3 linked regions of the Daphnia pulex genome follow. The protein of the gene in region 1 interacts with the protein of each later gene in a pairwise test. Links are inferred from orthologs where the notes say so. Each region holds a gene or a part of one and is shown on either strand. Other genes may lie near its edges.

Region 1 (4,368 bases):
AATACAACGGTTGCTTTTTCCCTTCTTATTTTTTCAACGAAAAATTGGAGAAAAGGGAGGAAAGACAAACGCGGCTTGGTGGGGGTTGAAGGAAGGTTGCCATCTTGGATGGGACTTTTCCCAATTTGGTGCAACCACAACCCAAAAGCATTGACGTTGTCCATAAGAAAAGGGTACGAAAAGAAGGACAGTCAAGGAAGGGAAGAATGGAGTGGGAAAGAAAGGGGTCGGTCCCTCTTTTTTTCTCTCTCCCTTTGTCTTTCAATTCGTACACTTTCTTATGGACAATGTCAATGGTTTTTGGTTTGAGGTTGCACCAAACTGGGAAATGTCCCATCCAAGATGGCATCCTCGAACCACTCTATTCCAGGGCAACGCAAAAAGATCAATATTAGTTGGCCATAACTGATCATTCTTTCCAAACACTTCTGGATCCAATATCCAGTCGCTAGCAGTGATAAGGAGATGGGCCACTCTGTGTAAAGTCCAGCAGTCGACATTTTGCCCCCTCCCCCTCTTCAGACGACGAATTCGACTGCGCTGCTCCTTTCGGCGAGCTCCGGAAGCATTTCCCAGTAGTTCTCCCCCTTCAGGACCGCCCCTATCGCAAAGTAAGGCAAAGCTTCCGGAGCTCGAGGAAGCAAAAAGGCCATGCCGCTGACGCAGTTAATTTTGAAATATTGTATTAATTTTAAAATGTGAGAATTACCTGCTGCATTAAGCTGACCAAACTTTATGAGGCCAAAGCAAGCTATCAATACGGCAGTGGTGCAAACAGACAAATACAGTGTTGAAACCAGAGCTATAGATGATGGTAGAACCACTGCCTGTAAAATTTTCCTCTAAAAATTTTTTTCTAAAGTTGCAGCCAATATCGCGAATCGAAAGTGGAAATATGTGCTTACGTATCGATTTAGACCTAATTGTCAGCGCCAGCGGCCATCTACTGAATCTTTTTTAATTTTAGTACTGGAAAAAAAATATGTTTCCCAACACACCCGCTGTGGCTCTGTAACTAAGGTCTCCAGCCAGAACACTTCCAGGAGGAAAAGGCAATGGAAGGCCTTTCCTTATAAATGGTTCTACCATACATCTATAACTCTGCTGAAACGGAAAAAAGTGGTGCCGAACTCGACGAAACTGGGGCGGAAAAAAAGTGGCGAAACTGGTTGCAACCGTCCAACTGCTCAATAAACTTTCAGGCAACCTGCGATCATCGATTTATTATTCCCACGATAGATGTCGTGGTAATAGAAAGTTTTGACGGTTGTGCAGGTCATGGTGCCGGTTGTGCATGAAGTCCATCAAGTACGCCTTCATTTGTGTCCATCATGCTACGACATCTTTCGTGGCACTCGGCTTCAACCAAGCAGTACAGCATCAGTCAGCCAGCAACAGCATGCAGTCAGTATGGTCAAGTAAATGGTACTTTTCGCCCTCTGTTGAATAAAACAACTGCTAATCGTTGAAGTGGTTTGTTGGTTTGTCGAGCTCGACGAATAGGAAATAGGCCTATATTATTTTTCGTAGAAATTACATTCTCTTCATTGTTATAGTCTTCTGTACATTGTAAAGTGTATCAGTGTATATCATTTGCGAATAGTGTTTGACTCTGAGGGGCAGAATCTTAATATTGGTTTGGTCGTTATTGGCCTGGACAGAGAATTGTCTTAAAAAGGTTTATGATGGACGATATAATTAGCCATTCACGTAAGCCTGTTGTGTGTCGCTATTTTGCCGCCTCTGGAACTTGTTTTTATGGAAATGATTGTCAGTTTTTGCACAACTCAGTTTCTCGATCAAGCGTTTCACCTACATTTCCATTGAATTCATTTTCATCTCCAGTTCGCTCAGTCAGTTCCACTGCTTCAAATTCGACAGAGTTTAGTTTGTCAGTTATAGAGAGTAATTGCTTACATCAATCATTTGGGAAGAATGTAAACACAATTCCGTTGTCTAATTCTGCAATTTTAATTAAAGATGAATACGTGCAGAAATCACAAGAGTTACCCATATCACCAGATTTGCAAATAGCTGGAGGTTCTAATTCGTCCCTTTTTGAGGTATGTGTGTTCTGTTCATTGTAATCTATTGTTGTATCTAATAAGTTGTTTTGCACAACTCAGGAAAATGTTGGAGGTACCACTTATTACTACACGCCAGATGAAAATGTGAAACCCACTGTAGAAGAACCAATAATTGGAAAACACAGTCAAATTACTGAAAAAATGTCTCACACTTCTCTTTTAAATAGAAGAATTCAATCACCAAATCAATTGGTCTCAACATCACAAAATCAGATGTACTCAGTTTATAGTGGACCTTCCAGTTTTTTACAGAGCTGTAGTGGTCAGCAGAGATCTTCTTTTTTTATGAATGAAGATATAAGAGCTGACTTACTTCAAAGAAATTCAGTTGCATTATCTATATCAGACCCTGCTTTGTTTCCAGGTATAGCCAACTTATTTCATGTCCTAAGTTTATATTTTATTATTTAAGAAACACTTTATCTGAGCTGTTTGATTGTAGCAATCAATTTTATTACAAACATACATTAACTTTATGAAGTATCTAAATTGCATACATTCTTTTAATTAGATTTGCCAACGGAAGTTGATCACTATCATGAGTTGGTCCCCCTTGAAACCCACACTTTGAATCATGCTGTCAAGTCTAACACTTATGGCTTAATTACATCTACATATAAAGCATCAAATAGCAGAACCGGCATGAGATATTGCTTGAAAAGGATTCATGGTAATATTTAAATGAATAAAAACTTTAAACTGAATCTTCTTACCTAATATATAACCTTACAAAAAAGAAGTATTGAGATTTATTGGAGTATTATTATTGTTTATAATATCTTTAGGTTACAGAGTGACAAGTGCTAAATGTATGTCAATGGTAGAGTTATGGAGGAAAGTGCAGCAGTGTCATTTAGTGACTTTGCGAGAAGCATTCACTACCAAGGCCTTCGGTGACCATTCTATAGTTTTTGCATATGATTATTACCCTGGAGCTGAAACACTTATGACTAAGTATTTGGCTTCGACTGCTCCACACCTTGATCCATTCAGCAGTGACCCATCTGCTCCGCGTCCATATACAATGCAGAAAAACAGAATGCTGCAGCAACAAGCTGGCAAAGGTTGTTTTTGTGTTTTCATTATCATTATTATTTTATTGAGTATTTTATTTTATTTTTGATGCCTCCGCGTTTTTGCAAGGTGTGTTACCTGAATCTTTACTTTGGAGTTACATAATCGAATTGTGCTCGGCGTTGAGATCAGTACATTCTGCTGGTTTGGCTGTAAGAGCATTAGATCCATCTAAAGTACTTATAACTTCAAGAGGCCGTTTGCGTTTGTGCGGTGGTGGAATTTTTGATGTACTTACCTATGACTCTAGTTCTTCCAACATCACAGCTTTGCTTCCTCATTATCAGGTATGTAAAATTTTCCTTTTGTAACATACTTATTGTTATATAGTTGATGTTTAACTGTCATCATTTATGACTAAAAATGAAGCAAGAAGACCTTTTGGCCTTGGGTAAACTTATTCTTGCCCTGGCTTGTAATTCGTTGTTGGCACTTCAAAGGGATAATGTCTCTACATCTATGGATATCATCAATAAAAATTATTCTTCAGATCTGCGCAATTTGGTGATGTGAGTATTTTTTAATATTATATGTAGATACGTTAAAAACTGCAATCTGGGTTAGAACTATCTATACTCTGTAAAACTGCCCACTGAACTATGATTTCGTTAGGTATCTGCTCTCCACTACGCAAGGTTCAAGATCGAAAAACATACAGGAAGTGATGCCAATGATTGGAGCAAGGTTTTTCAGCCAGTTAGAAGCCGCCACTCTGCATGCCGACTATCTAGAAGATCAGCTAGCCAGAGAATTGGATAATGGCCGGTTATTTCGTTTGCTTGGAAAATTGGGAACCGTTGTTGATCGTCCAGAGTAAGGCAAATTAAATTGGTTAAGTTAGTCTAGTTACCTATCGAAGTAAACTTTATTGAATGTTTAAGGTTAAATTTGGATTCGACATGGTCAGAAACGGGAGACCGATATTTGCTTAAATTATTTCGCGACTACATGTTACATCCTTGTACGGATGATGGACGACCATGGGTCGATTTGGCCCACATTGTCGCATGTCTCAATCGACTAGATACTGCTTCTCATGACAAAGTAAGGACTTCATAATTTGAGAAAGAATTGAAGTGTATTATTATATTCTGCGTTGTTTTCCCCTACGTTCACTTGCATTAGATATGCTTAACATCTCGTGACCAACAGAATGTTCTGGTTGTAAGTTACGCCGAATTGCACCACTGCTTGGAGACTTCTTTTA
Region 2 (4,103 bases), on another chromosome or scaffold:
GTAGTTGATCTGACCAAAATCGAAAACCTTTATAGGTATCGTTAGCACAGGACAGAGCAAGAACTGGCGGTAATGTTAGACAACGTCTTCTTTGCTGAGTTGCTTGATATTTTTGACAAACTTCACACCAGGCCGGAGTCACACTTGCTACGTCAAAACTCTTTTCAAGTACATGTTCGAAGCTGTGTTCATCTATTGATCGAGTGAGTAAAATATAGACAAAGTGCCTTGTAAATTAGGTATAATAAAAAATATATGTCACTAACCCTCCACATCTTGCAGAGTAAGGGAAGAGAGAAGCACAGGCGAAGTTTTAGAATTTTCGCTTCCACATTTTGTGCAGCGGCTAATCTGCTCTTGTTCAACACCAAACAGTTTAGAGATAGGAGACACTGGTGACAGACCATCCTCAGAAGGTGAAACATCTCTTTCCGGTTTAATAGAATTTTCCGTACCTTCTCCGTTAAATTCTACTAAATTACTTGTAATTGTGGTCGATTCTTTTGTTATCTTGCTTTGAGGCAAGGTTTCGCTGCTAAGTTGTTGAAGAATAAAACGAGCCCAGCTCTGTAACATTAAATTTACAAATATTTTGAATCAGTGTCACAAAGAGAAACTAATATATAACTGAAAATTACCTGAGCAAGCCTAGGAAGTGTACTTTTTATCTTTATTTCAGGATGATTTTCTGCCATCAACAGTCCCATTGCCGAAGCTTCGGGAAGAGTGCGGAAAGCCCGAAGAAAATTAGATGGTTGGACTGTAACTGGAGTACTAGTAGGATCTTGATTTCTACCAACATCCAGCATATGAAAAAGGAATGACAGCTCACAGGCAAGACAAAATTCTCGGTTGCAGGAATGCTCAAGAAGACAATGACGTAATTCCGGAATGAAATATAACACCTTCAATTAAGAAACGAACAGTCAAAATGCACAGATCAAAATGTAAGCAATCAGACTCATACCTGCAGCAAAGAGTTTGCATATGAATAAGGAAGTGTATTATCCAAACCGCAGAGGGGCGTGGAATTGTAACGAGCTAACTCATTTTCGTCAAGGCCACCCTTTGTGTACCTCATCTCGATATGACGATATCGTTTCCACACTTGATAGCATTCAGTATCTTCTGTAAGGGAAATTGGCTAAAAATGGTGAAAACATAAAAATTGTGAAAAATTAATTCAGACTAACCCTTTGAATGTGTTGAATCCGTTCCCGAATGTTTCTGACCACGTTGTGTTCGTTTTTCGGCTGAGTAGGCCACTTGATTAGGTCTATGATCAGCTGGACTTGGAGCATAACCAATAGTGCCTACCATGCGCATATTTGACAGAATAGCATGATCAATAGGTGGAACTTTACGGAATCTCCTGCGGGTAAACTGTTCCGGCCAATCTGATAGCAGCGGCGAATTGTGTTCTAAGGGGAAAGGGATTGAAGTGAGTGGCGTCGTAGTATCGTCCATGGCGATCGAAACCGGAAGGGATTCTACTGGATCGGCAAATTCCGTCGGTCGAGAAAAGCTGTTAAATAAAGCTGATGCGTTTGATGCAAAGGTGTGAACATATCCACCGGCATCCCCCACAGCTAAGCATTGGCAAGAAGATGAAACTTCAAGAGCCATGCACATAGCACCCTCGTTATTCACTTGGAAAAGTTGAAGAGCTGAAGATGCAGGAGCAGCTGCATCAAGAACCTGTAACTGTCCCATGGCAGAGATAACCGCCAATTGGGACGAGAATGCTGGTAAGAACCGCAATAGAAATGGTTCTCCGACCACAGGAACTGGACTGAGAGCTCGTAACATTCTAACATCGTAAATTTTCAAAAAGCGATCCGAAACCACACCTCCCTGCCTATTTAATAAGTACAACTGGATAATTTAACTTACTTCTGTTATATAATATAGAAAAATTACCTGGATGAAAACCCACAAGTCACAATCAAGTTGTTATGAACATCAAAATCTGAAAGGCTTTCAGTATGTGCTACAAATTTATGCTCTTCACGTAAAGTTCGAGGATCTCTTAATGATACGCATCCACTAGCGTCACCTAGTTATTTAAGGAAGGATGAATTTTTATTTGTGTATTTCATAAGAATTTTTGTACCTGAGCAGATAAATCTAGGGTGTCGTCTCAGAATTGCACATCCCTTTTCTCCTACATCAAACTAATAAACCAATAGAAATATATTTATCATAAATGTTATGGAGGTTATGGTTTTTAACTTCACTTTACTTTTGTTGTTTCCTTCGCTGTCACAAGGTCAAATTCTACTACCAGCGGTTGGTGTCCTCCAAGTAGAACTGTTGTGGGCCCTGTTTGTAACAAGCATTGTAGATCTTCACAAGTACTTGAGCTAGAAGAAGTTTATATTAAATTGTTATTTTTATGATATATTGTGGATGATTTTCTTACGTAAACAATTTAGAAAATTTACACTCAATTATGCAAACCTGTAAGTGAATAATGGGACACCTCTCCTTTGTTGGCATCTAAGAGTGTTTGGGGTTACTATAAGTAAACCAGCATCAAAAGAAATCATCTGTCTGACTTCTTGAGATGCATGAACTTGGAATGATGTGTATTTGTGTAGAGAAGAGCCATAATAACTAGTGACATGTCCTCCTTGATTACCAACCCAAAGCAGCTCTTCCTGAAGGTCCCAATGAATTGCGGACACACCAAATCTATCTCCACCATCAATTAAAATCGAAGATTTCTCTGAAAAAACGCCAACATTGAAATCCATCTTTCAACTTCAAGACATTTCGTTTCGTTTTGCTGTAAAGTGCCACCTAGGGGCTGCGTTTGTTAACTTACTTAGATAGTCAACATAGTCAACACTAGTTGACGACGAATTCATTACGAAAAGAAAAAAAGCTCATCACTCTTTAGTCTTTTCCTGCCATCAATAATTCGTCTGATCGATGCCGGTGTAACACGTGCTTTTTATTTCTTCATTTCAATTATTTTATCATTTTAAACTATTTCAAGTGGATGATTGAAAACTAGTTTTAACGATGGTGAAGGAGCAATACCGTGAGACTGACGTTATTAGAAAAATGTAAGTTTTTTTAACACTCAAAATTCTAATTCACATTAGTATAGGTATAGAAGATTAAATACGATTATGTACTTTTAGAGCAAGAGTAAGCTTTGGAATTGAAAGTCCGCAACAAATACAACAGCAATCTCACATTCAAGTGGTAGCTCAGAATTTGTATAACCGAGATGCTGGACGAACACCTATGCAGTATGGAATGTTGGACAGAAGAATGGTAATTTACTCTTTAAATATTTAAAGAGATCCACACTTAACTGCTATTTTTTCATAGGGGATGAGTGTTAAAGATGCAATATGTGGTACTTGCGGAAAAGGGCTGACAGAATGTGTAGGCCATTTTGGTTACATTGATTTGGAACTTCCAGTTTTCCATGTTGGATACTTCAAGGCTGTAATTACTATCTTGCAAACAATTTGCAAATCTTGCTCTCATGTAATGCTTAATGAAAAGATGAGAAAAATTTACAGAGCCAAACTAAAGGGTTCAAAAATACCTTATCTAAATAAGAAAGCACTGAGGAAGCAAATTCAAGAAGTATGCAAAAAAGTAACACGCTGCCCAAACTGCAATGACATCAATGGCATGGTGAAAAAGTGTGGCATGCTGAAGATATCCCATGAAAAATTTAGAAGTATCAAGAAAGACAACGTTATTTTAAAAAATGAGTTAGTGGCTTATGAGAATGCTGTGCAGTTCAACAAGGAGATTGAACCAATGTTGTCATCTGGCTTGGTTAAAATGTTAAATCCACTTGAAGTACTTCATCTGTTTGAGAGAATTCCAGACGAAGATATCCAATTTTTGGTGATGAATCCTGAACATGGGCATCCAAAGGACATGATTCTCACCCGTGTTCCAGTTCCTCCTGTTTGCATTCGACCTTCTGTAGTGTCCGATTTGAAATCGGGGACAAACGAGGATGATTTGACAATGAAACTAACAGAAATTGTCTTCCTGAATGATGTCATTGTTAAACACCGTCTCTCGGGTGCAAAAAGCCAAATGATTCTAGAAGACTGGGATTTTTTGCA
Region 3 (4,028 bases), on another chromosome or scaffold:
GATTTGAAATAATTATCCTTTGAAGATCGGACTTCCAAATGCTGGGAAATCTACTTTCCTACGGTCTATCTCTCGTGCTAGACCTAAGGTAGCTCCATATCCATTCACCACATTGCAGCCACACGTAGGAGTTGTAAAATACGACGACCTCCAACAAGTGACTGGTATCTGAGATCAACTTTTTTTTTATATTGATTTTTTACAATTTTATTTGTGTCTCAAATAGTTGCAGACATTCCGGGATTGATCGCCGGGGCGCACCGCAATCGAGGATTGGGAATTGCATTTCTGCGTCATATTGAACGGTGCCTTTGTTTGCTATATGTCGTGGATGCCTCGTTGCCTGAACCATGGCAGCAACTTGAAGTCCTCCGATATGAACTGGAACAGTACGATCCACATCTACTCGAAAGACCCTCTGGTGTTTTAGCCAACAAGATGGACTTGCCCCAATCAACCATAAACCTCAAAGAACTAAAGCAGTATGTTGAAAAAATTAATCTACCTCTCTTCCCTGTTTCAGCCATGAACAATGTAGGAGTTCTTCCTATTCTGCATTTTGTTCGACAGTTGTATGATAGTTCTACTACTAAAGAGAATTTTGATGAAAAAGAACAATAAAATTTAACTTAGAAATTGCTAAGACCTAAAGTTATATTTCAAACTTTTAATATGGGCGAGGCGGAGGAGGAAGTGGTTGTGATGAAGTTGGCGTAGGAGGATACACTTGCCCAGGGAAAGAAGGATATGTTGGGTAAAAGGGAGCTGATTGCGTTGGCGGAAGCGGAGGAGGGTAAACTTGTGGTGGAGTCGGAGGAACAGGGGGATTCGCTGTAGGAGGTATCATAGGATAACCTGGATATGGAAACGAATGTCCGACTGGTGGTGGTGGAAGTGGATGAGGCACATTGATAGGCGGAGCCACGTTTATGTTGGGTGGAACGCCAACAGGTAAAGAATTAGTATTGGTGACCCCCATTGCGTAATTCACGTATCCCGCTGCCGCAGCTACTTCGACTTTAGGTTGCATAGCGTCTAATCGTTGATCGAATCCTCCAGCGCTACGCCCACTAACTGGCTTCGTGGGAGTCGTAATTGGTAAAACAGGCTGTACTTTCGTCGGAACGAGTCCCGCGTTCCCTTGAGGGGAATCTGATCGTGCAGGCTGTTGGGAATATAAATCTAATACTTGGTGACAGATATCTAGAAAAGAATAAAATTATTCCAGCGTTAGTAAGAAGAAAAAAATATAACGTCCGATAAGTGAGAGAATACCTTCCAGTATTTCTAAACTGATGTCCTCTACAAACATATCCCACCATCGTATATGCCGTGGCTGTCTACCGCTCCAATCCGTTATTTCAAATTTACTTAATTTCCCAGCCAAATACATGAGAGCGATGGCAATCACTTCTGGTTCCCATTGTAAACATAATGTGGTGCATAAGCTAAAATAACAAAATATAGTAAGTGTAGGTAAAATCAGATTAACACAGCAAAAACAATAATTGCTTATCAGAGCACGGCTTTTGCTCACCTATCATTAACAAATGTCCATGCCATCTGCACCATTTTTTGAAGTTTGGATTTATCTCCTTCAGAAATTAATCAATAGTATAATTTAAAATCAGTGATTTTGGAAGATAAAACTCTGCTTACCTTTAAGGGATTTGGCATACTTTATAAGGTAACCGTATGGATGTTCAACTTGAAGGTCAAATCTTATGGTCTGCAGTAAAATTCTTTCAAGTGTCATTACCTCTTCCTTTTATAAATAAGTGAAAGAAAACATTATGTTTGAGACCAAACTATAGAATACAAGAGATATAGTTAGAGAAAGATATAGCAATTCAAGATGTTACCTTGGCATCTTCACCAAATTGTTGAAACTGCGCTTCTGACAATGACGCTTTTGCAACTTTAATAATGTCTTTGCACTTTTTGGGTGTTTCTTCAACTTTGCCAGCAAGGAACAGACTGTAAAGAAATTTAAAGGACATTAGCATGAATCATTATGCAAATATGCTATTCAAGTATAAAAGGTACCAGCAGCATGCAGTGACATATCGAGGAAACTCTTTGAAAGAGTGAAACATGTAGAATCGATGGAAGTAAACCACTCCAGTTGCCATTGTGTCATAACGAAGTCCCATTTTTGTTCCAGTATCAATAATAAAACGTGCTCCTTCTTTCCGGTAGCGAGACTCCGTTTCAAAATCGATGCCATCGTGAATAGAAGGAGTCTCCCTTTTCAGATCTTTCTTTTCGTAGTACCAGCACGGCATGTCAGCGGAGGTGAAAAACCTAAATAGCTTTTATATGAATGATAACTAAAAAAATAACTAAAAATAAAGTGAATTGTAGTTAAATAACTGAAAATCAAGATTACAAGCTCTTTTGAGAAATTCTATGAGCTTGCTCGTTAAATCTCAGCTTGATGTTAAATGCCAACACTTGACAGCTGTAACTATTATAATGCTGTCTGCTTCGTTTCGTAGTTGGTAGCGACATCTGTACTTCGACTAATCTACTTCATTCCACATTTTATTTGCCACGCCCATTTGCAAATATATGGAACGCCATCTAGACGCCATCTCAGAATCCCCCGAAAAAACAAGACTGTTGACGAAATATGGCCTTTCGAAATACAAATCCTCCCAAGTTTTATGCAATAAAAAATAACTTCAACAGAATTATACAACTCGTCAACTTTTATCTCCATGTTTAGTCCCCTATTTGAAAGGCTAGAGTTAATATAGAATCAGAGAAACTGTCCGCGAAATAAAATGAGAAATTAAAAACTGGCAGATCCTTCTAGTTAATCGCCTAGTAAACCAAATGCAACTACATGTTGGAGGACCAAGGGTTTAGGAATAGCAATACCATTCGAGACGGAAATCGCCCTTGTTACGAAACATATGCGCAGTCTCACCTCTAATACAGTGTGTCTTTAAATTATGGCTCCTGCGGACACGGGTATATTAATAGTGCCAAGCGGGAAAAAAAGTACAGGTCAGGAGCTATATTCCACGCACCCGATGTCGGAAAAAGAGGACATACCCAATTAAAAAGCTATCACAACTAAGCAAATCAACAACATTGCTAGGTGTGATCCTTAATATTAATCATCGCAAGTTCACATGTGGGTTTAAATTTTCCAAATTTGAGTGCGGATTTCTGTCGAACAAACACACGCTATGTGCAATGTCTATTGCGAATTGCTTTATTTTTTCGTGTGCATTGAAATGTTCGGGTGTACGGATATAAAAAGAATCAACCGCGAACTATATGGAAGAAGCACCATTTGCCACGTGAAAGTATCCGAAGACTATCCACTGAATTTCGATCTGTGGCGGTTTCATTATACTACTAGGTTCGTACCAGCCCAGGGGCTAGAGTTGGCCGGCAAACCTTATGCTTGAATTAAGCGCATTCCCAATTCGTCGTGTGCCAGATTGTCCGCAGGGATTGCGCGTCCAGTGACCTGGAAAAAGAAAAAAGAAAAAAAAATCTTCTTTTATTTTATTATTTATTTTTTTTTTCTGACTAGGTTGTGTTGTTGTGCCCACCTGGGCAAAGTACAAGCGAACGCTCTCACGTTTTACTGTGCTATATATGATCAGACATGTGGATGCGTACGTGCTGTTTTACCCCCAAAACTATCGGCCAGCATTTAAGTATCAACACGCAATACGGAAGTTTGTCTGAAACATGGCAATCACAATGTGAAACTGTATACTATCCATCACCCAAATATAGATGGTCTACACAGTTTCAATCTGTTGGAATTGTGCGGCTTTTATACTGGACACCAATTCATATTGCATATACACACAGTGGTCAAGAAGAACCTACATGGTTGTCGTCCAGCAACACCAGACGGTTTTCTATATTCTTTTCAACCAAACAAAAAATTCGCTTTAGGCATCTTGCAAAACTGGTCACGTGGGCTGATCAAAAGGCCAGTGATGCGCGCAATCGGCCACTCACACGAACACGGTAGACATCTCAGCAGCAGCAGCCGACCC

What was found.
Region 2: the proteins of PAN2-PAN3 deadenylation complex subunit pan3-like (region 1) and PAN2-PAN3 deadenylation complex catalytic subunit PAN2-like interact in binary tests that used the Drosophila melanogaster proteins (3 or more experiments, as listed by UniProt). The link is inferred for Daphnia pulex from reciprocal best matches to the Drosophila melanogaster genes PAN3 and PAN2.
Region 3: the proteins of PAN2-PAN3 deadenylation complex subunit pan3-like (region 1) and cyclin-K-like interact in a two-hybrid assay, tested with the Drosophila melanogaster proteins (3 studies listed by BioGRID). The link is inferred for Daphnia pulex from reciprocal best matches to the Drosophila melanogaster genes PAN3 and CycK.

Annotation. Positions count from the first base shown.
Region 1 is NC_060025.1:5,199,189-5,203,556, reverse strand, and holds the start of PAN2-PAN3 deadenylation complex subunit pan3-like, read left to right. Parts: upstream 1-1,445; 5' UTR 1,446-1,682; coding exon 1,683-2,063; intron 2,064-2,126; coding exon 2,127-2,451; intron 2,452-2,598; coding exon 2,599-2,757; intron 2,758-2,872; coding exon 2,873-3,151; intron 3,152-3,230; coding exon 3,231-3,448; intron 3,449-3,530; coding exon 3,531-3,670; intron 3,671-3,773; coding exon 3,774-3,974; intron 3,975-4,042; coding exon 4,043-4,205; intron 4,206-4,286; coding exon 4,287-4,368. UniProt on the Drosophila melanogaster protein: Regulatory subunit of the poly(A)-nuclease (PAN) deadenylation complex, one of two cytoplasmic mRNA deadenylases involved in general and miRNA-mediated mRNA turnover.
Region 2 is NC_060021.1:6,585,499-6,589,601, forward strand, and holds the start of PAN2-PAN3 deadenylation complex catalytic subunit PAN2-like, read right to left. Parts: upstream 2,804-4,103; 5' UTR 2,757-2,803; coding exon 2,461-2,756; intron 2,364-2,460; coding exon 2,243-2,363; intron 2,175-2,242; coding exon 2,114-2,174; intron 2,057-2,113; coding exon 1,921-2,056; intron 1,859-1,920; coding exon 1,194-1,858; intron 1,129-1,193; coding exon 968-1,128; intron 906-967; coding exon 639-905; intron 568-638; coding exon 267-567; intron 193-266; coding exon 1-192. Other genes in the region: DNA-directed RNA polymerase III subunit RPC1-like, read left to right, coding at 3,028-3,071, 3,150-3,285, 3,343-4,103. UniProt on the Drosophila melanogaster protein: Catalytic subunit of the poly(A)-nuclease (PAN) deadenylation complex, one of two cytoplasmic mRNA deadenylases involved in general and miRNA-mediated mRNA turnover.
Region 3 is NC_060021.1:10,001,303-10,005,330, forward strand, and holds cyclin-K-like, read right to left. Parts: upstream 2,527-4,028; 5' UTR 2,512-2,526; coding exon 2,390-2,511; exon of another isoform or gene 2,305-2,389; coding exon 2,047-2,304; intron 1,978-2,046; coding exon 1,863-1,977; intron 1,766-1,862; coding exon 1,660-1,765; intron 1,596-1,659; coding exon 1,538-1,595; intron 1,449-1,537; coding exon 1,276-1,448; intron 1,204-1,275; coding exon 668-1,203; 3' UTR 641-667; downstream 1-640. Other genes in the region: GTPase Obg-like, read left to right, coding at 26-164, 227-621.